2 linked regions of the Arabidopsis thaliana genome follow. The protein of the gene in region 2 interacts with the protein of the main gene of each other region in a biochemical or structural test. Each region holds a gene or a part of one and is shown on either strand. Other genes may lie near its edges.

What was found.
Region 1: the proteins of GRF1 (region 2) and KCO1 form a complex in vitro, tested with the Arabidopsis thaliana proteins (one study listed by BioGRID).

The regions. Positions count from the first base shown.
Region 1 is NC_003076.8:22,528,035-22,534,856, reverse strand, and holds KCO1 (Outward rectifying potassium channel protein), read right to left. Parts: upstream 3,500-6,822; 5' UTR 3,421-3,499; exon of another isoform or gene 3,171-3,420; 5' UTR 3,140-3,170; coding exon 2,214-3,139; intron 2,130-2,213; coding exon 1,964-2,129; 3' UTR 1,735-1,963; downstream 1-1,734. Other genes in the region: AT5G55640 (Na-translocating NADH-quinone reductase subunit A), read left to right, coding at 934-991, 1,140-1,240, 1,323-1,613; AT5G55620 (uncharacterized protein), read right to left, coding at 4,179-4,484. UniProt on the Arabidopsis thaliana protein: Voltage-independent, large conductance and potassium-selective tonoplast ion channel. Regulated by cytoplasmic calcium and pH. Does not mediate slow-vacuolar (SV) ionic currents, but essential to establish VK currents.
Region 2 is NC_003075.7:5,771,478-5,778,874, reverse strand, and holds GRF1 (general regulatory factor 1), read right to left. Parts: upstream 3,666-7,397; 5' UTR 3,489-3,665; coding exon 2,997-3,488; intron 2,920-2,996; coding exon 2,797-2,919; intron 2,706-2,796; coding exon 2,589-2,705; exon of another isoform or gene 2,504-2,588; coding exon 2,437-2,503; exon of another isoform or gene 2,231-2,436; intron 2,086-2,230; exon of another isoform or gene 1,876-2,085; coding exon 1,718-1,875; 3' UTR 1,394-1,717; downstream 1-1,393. Other genes in the region: TL29 (ascorbate peroxidase 4), read left to right, coding at 1-50, 132-232, 302-342, 418-548, 642-748, 827-964, 1,043-1,177, 1,263-1,373. UniProt on the Arabidopsis thaliana protein: Is associated with a DNA binding complex that binds to the G box, a well-characterized cis-acting DNA regulatory element found in plant genes. Involved in the regulation of nutrient metabolism.

The sequences.
Region 1 (6,822 bases), on a different chromosome or scaffold from region 2:
TAATAATATATTTGACGATATAAGCAAATTTTCAGTTATTAAACCAATGTTTAGATTTCAAAGACATATATATGCGAAGACGATAACATTATTATTAAAAGATAATAAAATATTTAACATGAATACCATAAAAGTTGACTTGCGACTGAATAATCATGTAGAAAAAATACGTGCATCAGAATAGTTAATAGATAACGTATTATCGGGATAATATTGTTAGCAAAATATGGATAGGATTTTGATATATGGATGAAAAAACTTAGGGTACAAACCTACTTAACATGTTAATAATACAATTGACGATATAAACAAATTACCAGCTATTGAACCAACGATTTGATTTTAAAGATTATATAATTATGGGAAGATGATAACATTATTATTAAAAGGTAACAAAATATTTAACGTCAAAAGCAAATATGGTATAGAGATATAAGGGTATTTTCATGATAGAGAGAAAAGATTCGAGAGTAGTTTTTTCTAATACTTAATTTTATAATTTTATATGTATATAGAGTGCAATTTCCCTAATATAAACAAAAAACCAAACACATAGTACTAGTTTTGTTTCACAAAGCACAACGCAACATTTTCGTCTAGGAGTTTCACGAATGAGTAGCTGACACGTGGCTGAATACCGACCATCGATAGTAGATTACAAAAGTATCCCTAACATCTCCTTCTCCGCCGTGTCAATCGCAAACAATCGAATCCGGATCCGATCCGATTCGCCTCAACACCATCATTATTTATCTGTTTCCCCCTTTTCCCAAGCTCTAACATTTAGGGTTTCGCGAAAAATCAATCAGGTGAAAAATAATCGAATTATTGTAAAATTGATACATAAATTCACATTCAAAAGCCAAAGAGCTGAGAAATTATTTTTTGTAAACTGTTGGTCCTTCGGAGAGTGTCCATGAACGTTAGTCTTCAATGGATACATCTGTAATGCAGACGAATCTTCCCAAGGTAGAAGACAATGATGAATGGGGTAAGTAATTTCGCTTTAATCGATTCAGTTGCATTTCTTTATTGAAATTAGGGTTCTTTCGTGTTTATGTGATCGGATTCAATCATTCAAATTTCTGTATCTTCTTGTGTAATTACAAATCTTGAGTCGATCATTTGATTGGTGGCAGACACTGATGGGTTTGTGATTCCGAGCTTGGAGATTGAAGAAGACAAGGTTAATAATAATAATGATTCAGAAGTTGAAACATCAAAACCTTCTTCTCCTAAGGTTAGTGATTGATTTCTTACGTACAAGACAAGTTTCAAAAAAATGTTGTTAACTCTTTATCTCTCATTGTATGATTTTGTAGAGTAAAGCTGAAGAAAACATCTACTTAGGACCACATGGAGCTCCTCCTTCGCAGCTACAAGATGGTGGTAGTAACACATCGAGCCGCAAGCAGCGGTTTAAGCAGATGCTCAAGGAAGCAGATCAGAAAATGAGCGGCTCTGGTCGAGAAAACAAAATGGCTAACTTAAGAGAGCTTGTAGGCGGGGGTGCAGGTGCAGAGAAAGGAACTAATATGGGAAAAGGTGTTTCAAGAGACTGGCTTGACCCTCATTGCCATGAATCTCAGTTCGAGAAACGACGACTTCCATAACGCGAGAAACCGCTATCTTTTGAAAATGTTTTGTATCAATCAAAATACCAAAAAAGTTTAAAGCAATAAAACAGTCTTCATACCCTGTCCTTTGAGAGAATCATCCATGAATTCTTGGTCATGGAGCATAACACTAGAGAGCTTCATATGTATAGATGTATGTAAAATTATACACTCAGCATCAAGAAACGATCAAAGAGTTAGAGTGTGGCATTACATTACAAACACAAACAGGAAAAAACAAACAAAATTTCGAAAAACTGTTCACTCTCTTCGGCTTTTTGTTGTGTGAAGGTATAACTAAACAAAGATTCTGATTCGTCTTCGCAAGATGATGATGATGATGAGGCTTACCTTTGAATCTGAGACGTGGTCTGAGCTAAAACGATGTCAGAAGTCGTGAGAGTTCCTGATTCATCGTAATCAAGTTGCTCGAACTCATCCATTATCCCAGAAATATCTTTCTCATCAATCTTACCCATTTCTTTCAGTTTATACACAATAAACTCTGCAGCTCTGCAACACACAATAGACAAAAAAAAAAGAATAAGAAGAGGAAGAAGGAAACAGAAGATAGAATATGTCTGATGTCTTTCTTACCCAACAACTCCATCTTCATCGAGATCAGCTGCTTCGAGATCATTGTTTGTGATTCTTCGCGTTAAAACCCATTTCACCAACGCCCTCTGTTTGTTTTCTGTATTTAGCTCAGCTACATAAAGGAAAAACTGAGCCAAACATATGCTGCTCGTCAAGATCCAAAACACAGCAAAAAGGCGTCCGGCTTCCGAGTTAAAGCTCTTATCTCCATAACCCAATGTTGTAACCGTGGAGCAGACGCAGTAGAAAGCTGAGATAACCGGCATTTTCTCAACCATTACAAGGAAAATCGTGCCAACAATGAAGAGGACTACAAGGACAAGGCATGTAGCATAGCATTTGTATCTCAACTTGTTAGTATGCAACTCCTTGAGAATGTCTGTTGGACCAAAGCTTTGACGCAAATGGAAAGCCCTAACGAGCAAAGCCTCTTGTTTCTCCACTAGATAATCCGCCGCTCGACTTAAGAGGTGACCAACGAGGACCATTCCCGAGAAGACGAAGGCACAAGCAAGTAGCCTTGAGGCGGAACTATTAGGGACAAGGTCACCGTATCCAACAGTTGTCATCGTTACTATACAGAAATAGAGAGCATCTACCACACCACTGGTTTTATGACCGGAGATCTGGTCTCTCACGAGGTAGAAACAGAGCGTACCAATGGTAAGATATAAAGCCAAGAACATGATCACTCGCCTGAGATTCGGGTTTAGATCACTGAACATTGGGATTTTACTCGGATGAGGAGGTGGTTCGTCGATTTTGACATCATCATTGTACATACAATCACCACGAGGAGCACTTCTAGAGCGACGCAATCTTCGTTTTCTTGAAGAAGAAGTTCTTGAGTTCAGGTTGAAATCTTGAGCCATGGTATCTATCTTCTCAGTGGGTAACAATGGCGTACGAGCTGCATCACTCGACATTTCTAGACTCAAACCAGATTAACTATGAGATCTGCACAGAACAATCAAATCTCATGTTTATGTTACGAAAACCATCGCCAAAATTGACATCTCCTGTTCTGAGAAATGAACATATGTATCAAAAAATTTGAATTTCGTAACAGAAACTTGTCAGAACTTAGATACAGATTTTGAGTTATAGCTAAAGATTAGACCTTTAGACAATGAAAAGATGAGTTTTGTGAGAGTAATCAATCAGACACAGAACACGAACTGAAGGAGGAAGAAGAATTGAGACATACCCAGGAAAGTAAGATCGAAATCAAAAGAAGCGGTGTTGTCGGATCTCGCAATTGGTCTTCATTGATGATGTTCTCACAGTTGGCCAATTCTTGTTTTTATTTTATTTTAATTATCTTCTTTTTTTTTGGTCAAAATTTATTCTCTTCAAATCCGATAATTTTGTTTTTATGATCTTCTTCATTTTCTTGATAGGATTTTTCATTAGTATCTTAGTATAAAAATGTTTTGTTTTGTTTTTTAAATGTTTTTTTTCATATAGAAGAATGTATGTAATGTCTTAATTTTCTAGTTAGTTTTCTATCCTTCTGTTTTTTTTTTGTGCAAATCTAGTAATTAGTTTTATATTATACACTCATAATCACAAGTAATGTACAAGCCAATAAGCCAAAATATCCAGCATGACGTCATGTTTAATCTATATCATACAATAATCTATATGTTTTATGTTAATGTCAATATGTTAAGATTTTTATAAGTCGATAAATCACATTTTTTTAGTGTTATACATGACATCAAAGATGTTATTAATGCACTCATATGATACATATATATGTGAAGAATTGCATACTTCAAAACATCCCCACACACAAAGAAATATAACACACACTAGTATTTGACATAGTTCTAAAACATTACTAAGTGATTGATATACATGGTAATTTGACATAATTTTAAAAACATTCAACCACTCGAGTATAGGCTCATTGATATGCATGTGGAGAGCGATATAAGATCATTCAACACCAACATAGACCATCTAAAGCTGATCAGGCCAGAGAAATGATTCAATTGCAAAAACCCTCTTGTCTTCAAGAGATCCTTCAAAGGAGAATCCATATTGTTTGAGGAGCAAGTCAAGGCGGAGATCATCCATAACTTCGTAATCAGACTTGGAGTATTTAGGGTAGTGAAGAGGGACTTGGAATCCACTTGGGAATTCTTCTTTCTTCATCATCTTTATAATTTTGTTGCGGGTGCTTTGGCAGTTGCTGGCTTGATCCATATGGTTCGAGTAGCCGAACATTTGGGTGAAAGCCGATGTAAAGAGCAATTTCATTTCCATTGTCTTGGTTGATTTTAAGATTTTATACAAAAAAGGAAAGAAAACGAAGGTTTGAAATAGAGAGAAAGAGTAGAGAAGAAGAAGAAAGAGAAGCAAGGAAGCTTAAGACAAAATACCAAAAAAGGAGAAGCTTGAGACAAACTCTAAGGCAAGCTCGATGTTTGGTTATAGTAAAGGCGACCAAAGACTAGTATATATATAGAGGCAGGCAGGTAGGTCAGTAAGACAATTATTATTTGTCTTTTCGACATGATAATCGTCATTTGAATTTTATTTTTATCATCAAACTATAGTATGTAATATAAGATGTACTAGAAATTATTTGTTTTTGTTTTTTTAATTAAACAAAAGTATGATTATAACGAGTAGTTCTTGTTCTAAACCAAACCAGTAAACCTTTTTCCTTTTAATGAAAAAAAAGTATGATCATAAATAACAAAATGTGAGAACGACGGCTGTGAGCTACATGCACCAGGAAACGCATCGGCCAATGATGGTTCATGCATTCATGCACTCATTATCTTAGGTGGGGACAAGTATAAAACAGTTGTGGTGTGCAAGGAGAAAGTAGGTGAAAGTATTTAATATTTATATTAACTAAAAATAACATACTATGTTTTTGAGGTTATATGAGTTTTGGTCTTTCTTTTTAATTTAAAACCATTTTTATTGGCATTTTTTGCGGAATACCTTGTATATTCTAGGAAAAAACACTTTTTATATAAAACAGTTAAGATTATGATATAATTAACAAATTTTTAATAAAGAGAGAAATTAAGAAAGAAGAAGAAAAATGGCCATGATAAATACAGTAGTTGGTTTTACTATTCGGTTGGTGATCCTTTTGTTCATTTTGATAGGTATGAATCTCACCAACGCTTCCATATACTTTTTTCAGTTTTGTTCAAATCATGAATCCATAAGTTTAACATCTTAATTAAGAAAATTACCTATTAAATTCAATATGTCAAAAGCATGCAAAAGGAGAGATATTCTTTTTTTGCTTTGATTTTTAAAGTTTGATGTATATGTTTAGATTTAACAATACAAAACTTTTTTTAAAAGAAAATAATATTCTCTTCATCCCACAAAGATAAGTTTTCTAGAAATTTAACATTCTTTAAAAAATATTTTATAATGACAATTTAACATTCTTCTAATTAACTAACAAGAACACCCAATCTTTTATGTTGCTTTTTATTTCTTATGTATTGTTCTGTTCCTTCCTCTCTCACTTTATTCCATCCTCTGTTTTGTGGATTGTATGGTATCGGGATACTAGAGGCTAGACAACTTAGGAGAATATATTTTCTGTAACAATTTGCTAATTTTCTTATTACCTAAGCTCTGTTTTGTGTAACAATTTGCTAAACAATTTTTTTGTGTGTGGATTACACTCATACAACAGAAATGGGTGTGCAAATTAATAATAAGCATGTTAAACTCTACCAATTTTGACTCCCACGATGAATTTTACCGGTTTACTTTTTCAGGGTGTTGAAAACCATGCATTCATGCATTCATTATCTTAGGTGGGGACAAGTATAAAACAGTTGTGGCTTGGTGTGCAAGGAGAAAGTAGGTGAAAGTATTTAATATTTATATTAAAGAGGGAAGTCCATTTTCTAACTAAGACAATCTTCTTATTTGGAGCCATTCATATGAGTTTCGTGTTTGTGTGGTGGTAGTGATGATGTGTCTCCCTTTAAAGTCTCTAGTCTATACATTAACAATTGAAAATATCTCTCCCTCTTTTAGCAAATCAGCAATGATCATCGTTTTTAGAGATTTTTAGGTATATTCGGTTGATAAAAAAATGAGTGAGATTGTACCAAAGATTTGAGAAAGATCATAGGTAGGTATTAATAAGGGCCTGAGAGATTTAGACACCAAAACTAATGCATGCTTGGTTGATTCACTTAATGCATGCTTGTGTGAAGAGTGAAAGATAAAAGAGCACTTCACAATATCGATTTTCGAGTTTTGTCTAGTTGGACTTGGAGACTTGAGGCCTATAAACTAACCCAAATGGCCAAATCCAAAACTGACCCCGAACCCAAAATAAGCCTAATTGCAGTCCAAAAGAAGTTCAAATTAAATCCGGTATGGGAATCTTTAGTTGACCCGAACCCTAAACCAAACAAACTAGTTCTCCATTCCCAATCATCTCGAATCCCAAGCTAGGCTTTTGGTTTAGCTGAACCATACTTCAAATACTAATTTTTCTTCCAAGCATTCTTTTTCACGTTTGCATAAGAGGATAGTTCACAAAATCCCTACTTACAAAAGTAAAAAGAGAAGAAAAATCGCAGATACAAAACTAAAATCCGAGGAAAAT
Region 2 (7,397 bases):
TGCAAAAGCTGCTGACTTGAATCAACGTAGACAACGATCCGAGTTTCAATGTGAGTATCTGAAACAAGAACACTAGTGTGGTACCATTAGGTTGTTATTGGCACTAAAGGTTTCACTTTTATATTATGCAGCAAAGATCAAGATTTTGCTTTCAACCACCATTAAGGCTAAACCGGAGCTTGTACCTTCCTTACTCAAACTAGCTCTCAATGATGCTATGACTTATGATAAGGTCAGGCTTCATATAATGCTCTTGTCCATCTCTCTGGTGACCCTTTAATGATACTAGCTTTTTGTCTAGGCTACTAAATCCGGGGGAGCCAATGGATCCATACGGTTCAGGTAGTTATATGATGTAAGAACATTATAAGAGTAATCTTTAGATGATGTCTAATGCATTCTTTTCTTTTTGTGAAGCTCTGAGCTAAGTAGAGCAGAGAATGAGGGACTTTCTGATGGGTTGAGTTTGATAGAGGAAGTGAAGAAGGAGATTGACTCTATCTCGAAGGGAGGTCCTATTTCATATGCAGATATCATTCAATTAGCAGGTAATGTTATAGTATATACCAAAACTTGTTCATGAAGAGTAGCATTATTGTATTTGTGGATAACTGAAATCTTTCTTGGGTTGGTTTCTGTAGGACAATCAGCGGTCAAGTTTACATATTTAGCATCGGCTATCCGAAAATGTGGTGGAAATGAAGAGAAGGGGAACTTACTTTACACAGCATATGGTTCAGCTGGTCAGGTAAACAATGCTATCGTATTCGCTTTTGAGTCGCGGCGTTTTGTTCAAATCGATACTGAACCGTTGTGAATCTGTTAGTGGGGATTGTTTGATAGAAATTTTGGAAGGAGTGATGCAACAGAGGCTGATCCAGAAGGCAGAGTCCCACAATGGGGGAAAGCAACTGTGCAAGAGATGAAAGATAAGTTCATTGCTGTTGGATTGGGTCCTCGTCAGGTACATGATTTTCGGTTTAAACAGAGAATTATCTACTAGGATCACTCGAAGTAACTAACCTGTATGAGGAATTTGTAGCTAGCTGTAATGTCTGCATTCTTGGGTCCTGATCAAGCTGCAACAGAACAGCTCTTAGCTACTGACCCTCAAGTTGCTCCATGGGTTCAGAAGTATCAAAGAAGCCGTGAAACCGTATCTCAGACTGATTACGAGGTTCGTTTTCACTCGATTTGCCTTAATCATATATTCATCTACCTCAAACTCAAGCTCATGTTTTGGTTTATGAATATGTTTGTAGGTTGATCTCATAACTGCATTCACAAAGCTAAGTTGCTTAGGACAGCAAATCAACTTCGAGGCATATACATATCCCGTCGAACGGATCAATCTGAGCAAACTCAAGCTATAAGCTATGTACACTATATGTATAACATGAGAGGAAACTTCGAAATAAACCAAAGATTTTTCTTGACATTGAAACAAAAAGAGAAGTTGAATCCATTACAAACAAAGACACAGAAGATAGGAGTCAAATCACGATAAAATGGAAACAGATAAACGAAAAATAATAGGAATCGAGTTTTCGTATCCACGGTTGAGAAAAGCAGCAAAAAAGGACAAGAATTAGACTGCCTTAGAGAGCTTGGGGATAAAAGGAAATAAGAAACCAACAGAGAAACACCTCCAAGAGAAAAACATATTAATGGAGAGGTTTTAGATACTGAAATGACAACAAAGTTGCGGTAAGACGACTTAGGATTGTTGCTCGTCAGCGGGTTTTGCTGCTGCTGGTGCTGCTTCTTTGATGTCATCAGCAACATCGTCCTGATTGAAAAAAACATTTGACAAGATCATCATAATCAGAATCAGACCACAAGAAAGAAGGATTGAGGAATGTATCAAAATGTAAACTAAGCAACAACTTGATTTCCAAATCTAGTCTCCCTCAATGGCATATATCTTGCTCATGGTTTCAGAAATCACAAACAGGCTTAAGCAAGGCATAAGGAGGAATGCATCAAAATGTAAACTAAACCACTTGATATTCAATTCGTGTCTTCCTCAATGGCTTAACAAGGCTTATGATTTCATAAATTAAGCAACAAAACAGGATTAAACACATTTGACAATCACTAAAATCAGAATATGACCAAGAGAATGCATCAAAATGTAAACTAAACTGTTTGTTTTCCATATCTAGACTTCCGCAATGGCTTAACAAGGCTCATGGTTTCAGAAATCAAGCAACAAAACAGGCTTAAATACATTTGACAATCACTAAAATCAGAATCAGAGCCAGCAGAATGCATCCAAATGTAAACTAAACTGTTTTATTACAAATCAAGTCTTTCTTAATGGTTTAATTATAGGCTAAAAGTTTCAGAGATCAAGAAACAAAAACGTTATTCGTTCATCAAGCAACAAAAACAAGCTTATAAGGCCAAAATATAATACCTAGCAAGATTACTAACACAGTTGACAATCACCAAAATCAGAATTAGACCAGAAGAATGCATCAAATAAACTTGATATCCAAATCTAACTTTTGTCAATGACTTAATTAGGCTCATTGTTTCACAATTCAAGCAACAAAATCAATCATACAGGAGCCAATATATAATACCTGCATATCAGAAGTCCAGAGAGTGAGGTTATCACGAAGAAGCTGCATAATCAAAGTACTGTCCTTGTATGACTCTTCACCAAGAGTATCCAATTCAGCAATTGCTTCATCAAACGCCTAAATAAATCCATAAACAAAAACTCATCAAACACACACATAAACCAACAATACATAATCATATAAAACATCCCTCAGATGAGATCCAAACCTGCTTAGCGAGATTACAAGCACGATCTGGAGAATTGAGAATCTCATAGTAAAACACAGAGAAGTTCAACGCAAGACCAAGACGAATCGGATGCGTTGGAGCCAATTCAGAATTAGCAATATCCTACACAACAAACCAAAATTTCAAAAACCTAAATCACACAAAAATCAAATCACAGATCGGAGAAAGAGATCAAAAACCTGAGCAGCTTTGTAAGCAGTAAGAGTATGTTCAGCAGCATCTTTCCTCTCTTGACCAGATTTGAACTCAGCCAAGTACCTATGATAATCACCTTTCATCTTCAGATAAAACACCTTCGAATCTCCAGAAGCAGCAGCGGGAACGAGAATCGTATCGAGAAGCTTAAGGATTCCGTCACAGATATCAGAAAGTTCCGTTTCGATTTTGCTTCTGTAGTCACGGATCAACGAAACGTGGTCATCGTTACCGCGAGACTCCTCCTTTTGTTCGATCGATGAAATGATTCTCCACGAAGCACGACGAGCTCCGATGACGTTTTTGTAAGCGACGGAGAGGAGATTACGTTCTTCGACGGTGAGTTCGTCTTTGTCAACAGCTTTCGCGACTTTCTCCATGAATTCAACCATTTCTTCGTAACGCTCTGCTTGTTCGGCGAGTTTCGCCATGTATACGAATTCATCTCTTGCTGAGGAAGCTCCTGGTGTCGCCATTGTTGTTTAGATCGGAGAAGAAGATGATGAACAAAGTGAGGAAGAAGAAGAAGAAATGATTCTCAGATCTGAGAGAGTTTTTTTTTTTTTTTATCGGCTCCGTGGATTTTTGTTTTTGTTTATAATGAATGAGTGGGGAGCGATGATTACGGATTGTGAGAAGAAAGGAGAGCCGTTGGATTGAAAGCTGGCAAAAACACGGATTCGTAACGAAAAAAGGCGCTGGCTTTTCAGATACTTTTTAGGTCAAGTTTGAATTTTCAATGATTGGAAAAGGGTATTTCTGGAAATTACTTATTTAATGGGCTTTTTTCCTGCGAAACGGGTTTATTGAATGGGCTTTAAAGCCTATTTTACGGATTAACTCATTTGCGCGTGGGTGAATTAATTATTGAATGGCCCGAATAGGCCCAATAAATATAACGCTTGTATTTTGGTATACTTACTGATTTCATTTTTAATCGGATATCCGATATGAAATATGAAAAATAGAAAATTTAAAACCCAAAGATGGCAATATTTCATTAAGATTTCTTTAGCTGTTAATCTTTAGTATTTAAATATTTAATTTAATGAACGTAATTTCATAAAATTTACAAACAAATACGTCAATCATCGTAAATCTAGTGAGCCGACATCGTTAATTTACAAATATTATTATAAACATTTAATTATCTCTTTTTAAAAAAAAATTAAGAGGACCAACTGTTATAATAAGATATTATTATAAACATCTAATTATTTTTTTTATTTTTTTTATTTAAGAAGACCAACTGTTCTGTTTTGGATACTCATAATTACTATATTTCTAAGGCTATAAGTCCTCATCACTTTAGTAAAAATAAATTTTGTGGATTGGTTTCATCCCCTCTATTAGGAACATGGACAACATCCATTTGCATGTCAAGAAGGCTTTGCATGTCTATGTAAGTAAGTTTTATATTTATTTGAAGATCTCGGTTTTTTTTTTCTTTTTTGTGAGATCATAATTATAATATTCGTGTATTTACTAAAATTTAATTTCTCTATGAAAAAAACTATTTGCTGAAAATAGTATGCACAAAACGTACACACATATCGTTGTTAAACAAGCAAACATGTAGAGTATCGATTAAACGACATATGTATATACACAATTTTCCTGAAGTTAGGATTTTATCAAGATTTCTTTCAAGTTTGATCTTGCAAGGTAGAGAGAAAGCCTCATAATTTGGAGTCACACTAAAGACAATGATAGGTCTTTGAGTCAGAGATAATGGAGTTTTAGGTTGAATAACTAATGCTCTAACCCCTCATATTGGAGTTTCAGCTAGGAACCAAAACATTCAAAAGGAATCAAACACATGGAGAATACACAAACGGTGTTTAGGATGGATATAATAGAGATTACAACCTTATCGAGATTCGCTTTAGGATGCATAAAATAGTAGGAGGCAAGAAGTCAAGAGACTTTCATGGGCATCGATGTAGAAAAAGTTCTCTGCCACAGAGGAAAAACAATTTTAAGGTCCTAGAATCTACATTTCATTAAGGATATATAGTAGAACCGCGAATGTGGTTAAAATTAACCGTTGGAGTGAAGAATTGGATAGGCTTTTGCTTTTCAAACATGAAATCAACAAAGTCCTTTGTAGTTGGGCATATAAGATAGATTCATCTCAGAACTTCCTGGCTCCATCCCAAACAAGATGTTGTAGGACTTATTCCAACGTGTTCGTTGTTTATCATCTAGAAGCGTAAACATGAGAAAAGAGTAAGCATAGATTATAAACAAAATCACAAAGTTTCTAGATTCCACATAACGCTAGGAACTCATCAATAGAGAAGCAGCAACTAAAAAAAAAGCTCACCTTTTAATTTCCATGTTTCTTTCCAAAAACGATCAGTGAAATTACGTATAGCTTTAATTTTTCCCCAAAGCAAGGATTGAATCTTGCGCTAACAACAAAAATGTTCAAATTTTAATAATTATGGAACAAATAATCAAAATATTCATAATTTAATAGGTCTTGCGCAAAACTATCTATTTTTACCCACAATAATAGCATGTATATGGGTGATACTCATATGGTATCATAAGGAATTTTTAAGTATTATTTATAATGTTTGAGATTTTTTATGATACTCCTACTAAATATGTTTGCACTAGATATTAACCCGCGGTATACCGCGGGTAAGTTTATATTTTAGTTAAACTAAAAATCTTTTTTTGTAAAGATGATTAATAAATTTATGATATTATTTTATTTGATTTTAAATATATAATACACTGCGAGTTGTATATGTTTTGTTGATATTTTTTATATTCTTTAATGTTGATATTCTATGTTTTGTTGTATATGTTGTGTTGTTCTTTTTAGTCGCATATGGGGGGTGGTGGCGACGGAGAGAGCAAAAATGTTTCTTTGGTTAGTCGGGAATCAAGCTCTAATGACGGATGCTGAGCGATTTAGAAGGCATCTGTGTATAACAGATGTTTGCCAAGTCTGTAAGGGGGGAAGTGAGACGATTATTCACATCCTTCGGGATTGTCCCGCAATGGCAGGACTTTGGGATCGTATCATTCCCCAGCGGCGGAGGAGATCCTTCTTTGCACAGTCGTTGATCGAATGGTAGCATGATAACCTAGGTGATGACCGGGAAATATATGAGAGTGTATGGTCTACGGTTTTCACGATGGCTATTTGGTGGGCTTGGAAGTGGCGCTGTGATAACGTGTTTGACAAACGTGGTAAGTGTCGGGATAGAACGAGGTTTATTAAGGATGCGGCTAAGGAAGTAACTACCGCTACTAGTAAACATAAAGGAGGTTCGGGGATAGGCGGTAGGGTGGAAGTAATGGTTGGTTGGGGTGTGCCTAACGATGGGTGGCTGAAGCTCAATACTGGTGGGGCATCACGGGGTAATCCGGGTCTGGCTACAGCGGGAGGAGTGCTAAGAAACAGTGCGGGAGAGTGGTGTGGGGGTTTCGCTCTTAACATTGGTCGTTGTACGGCTCCGGTGGCGGAGTTATGGGGTGTCTATTACGGCATGTACTTCGCTTGGGAGAAGAAGGTGACGAGAGTGGAGTTGGAAGTAGACTCGACATTGGTGGTGGGCTTTCTCAAGACTGGGGTTAGCGAGCGACACCCTTTGTCTTTCTTGGTACGGTTGTGCCACGGCTTTTTTTCGAAGGACTGGATAGTCCGTATTTCTCATGTGTATAGAGAGGCTAACCGCCTTACTGACGGGTTAGCTAACTATGCGTTCTCTTTGCTATTGGGCTTTATGCTTTTGTTTTTGTTCCTCTTGTTGTTGATTCGCTGTTTAGTGATGACGTTATTGAGTCTGCGCGCCCTCGTCGAGTATACTCGTTTTTGTAGTTTGTTTTAATTTTCAATAAAATGGGAGACTAGTCTCCCCTCTTCTACCAAAAAAATGTAGATGGTCTATGGTACATTGAAAGCCGAAGCAGTGCCGAATTAGTATTTACGAGTGCCATACTCAAAGCTTAAAAACATGCTTTTTCATATAACACACGTTCTATTTCCCGGCGTCTCCATCTCCGTCTCTATCTAATTTCGTCATGCGTCGATCTCGTAAGCTACTTCAGATTCCGGCCATCACGCAGCTCCAGGTTAGTTTTGATTTATGTGAAACTACAAATCGGTGCGTTGTGCCTTGAATGGAATTGACTTCTGGGTTTAGATTGAGAATTTCTAGGGTTTAGGAAACGTTATTTAGGTCACTCATACGAATCTGTTGTTTGTAGAAGATACGAGGAAACAAATCCAGTCACATGAAACAGAATTTTAAACTCTGCTCTATTTTCAAATTGATCGACTCGATCTGAAATTGACAGATTACCATATTTGCAACAATGTTTTGTGACTAATTTCAGAAGACTATGTTATTAGAGAGTAGAAAATG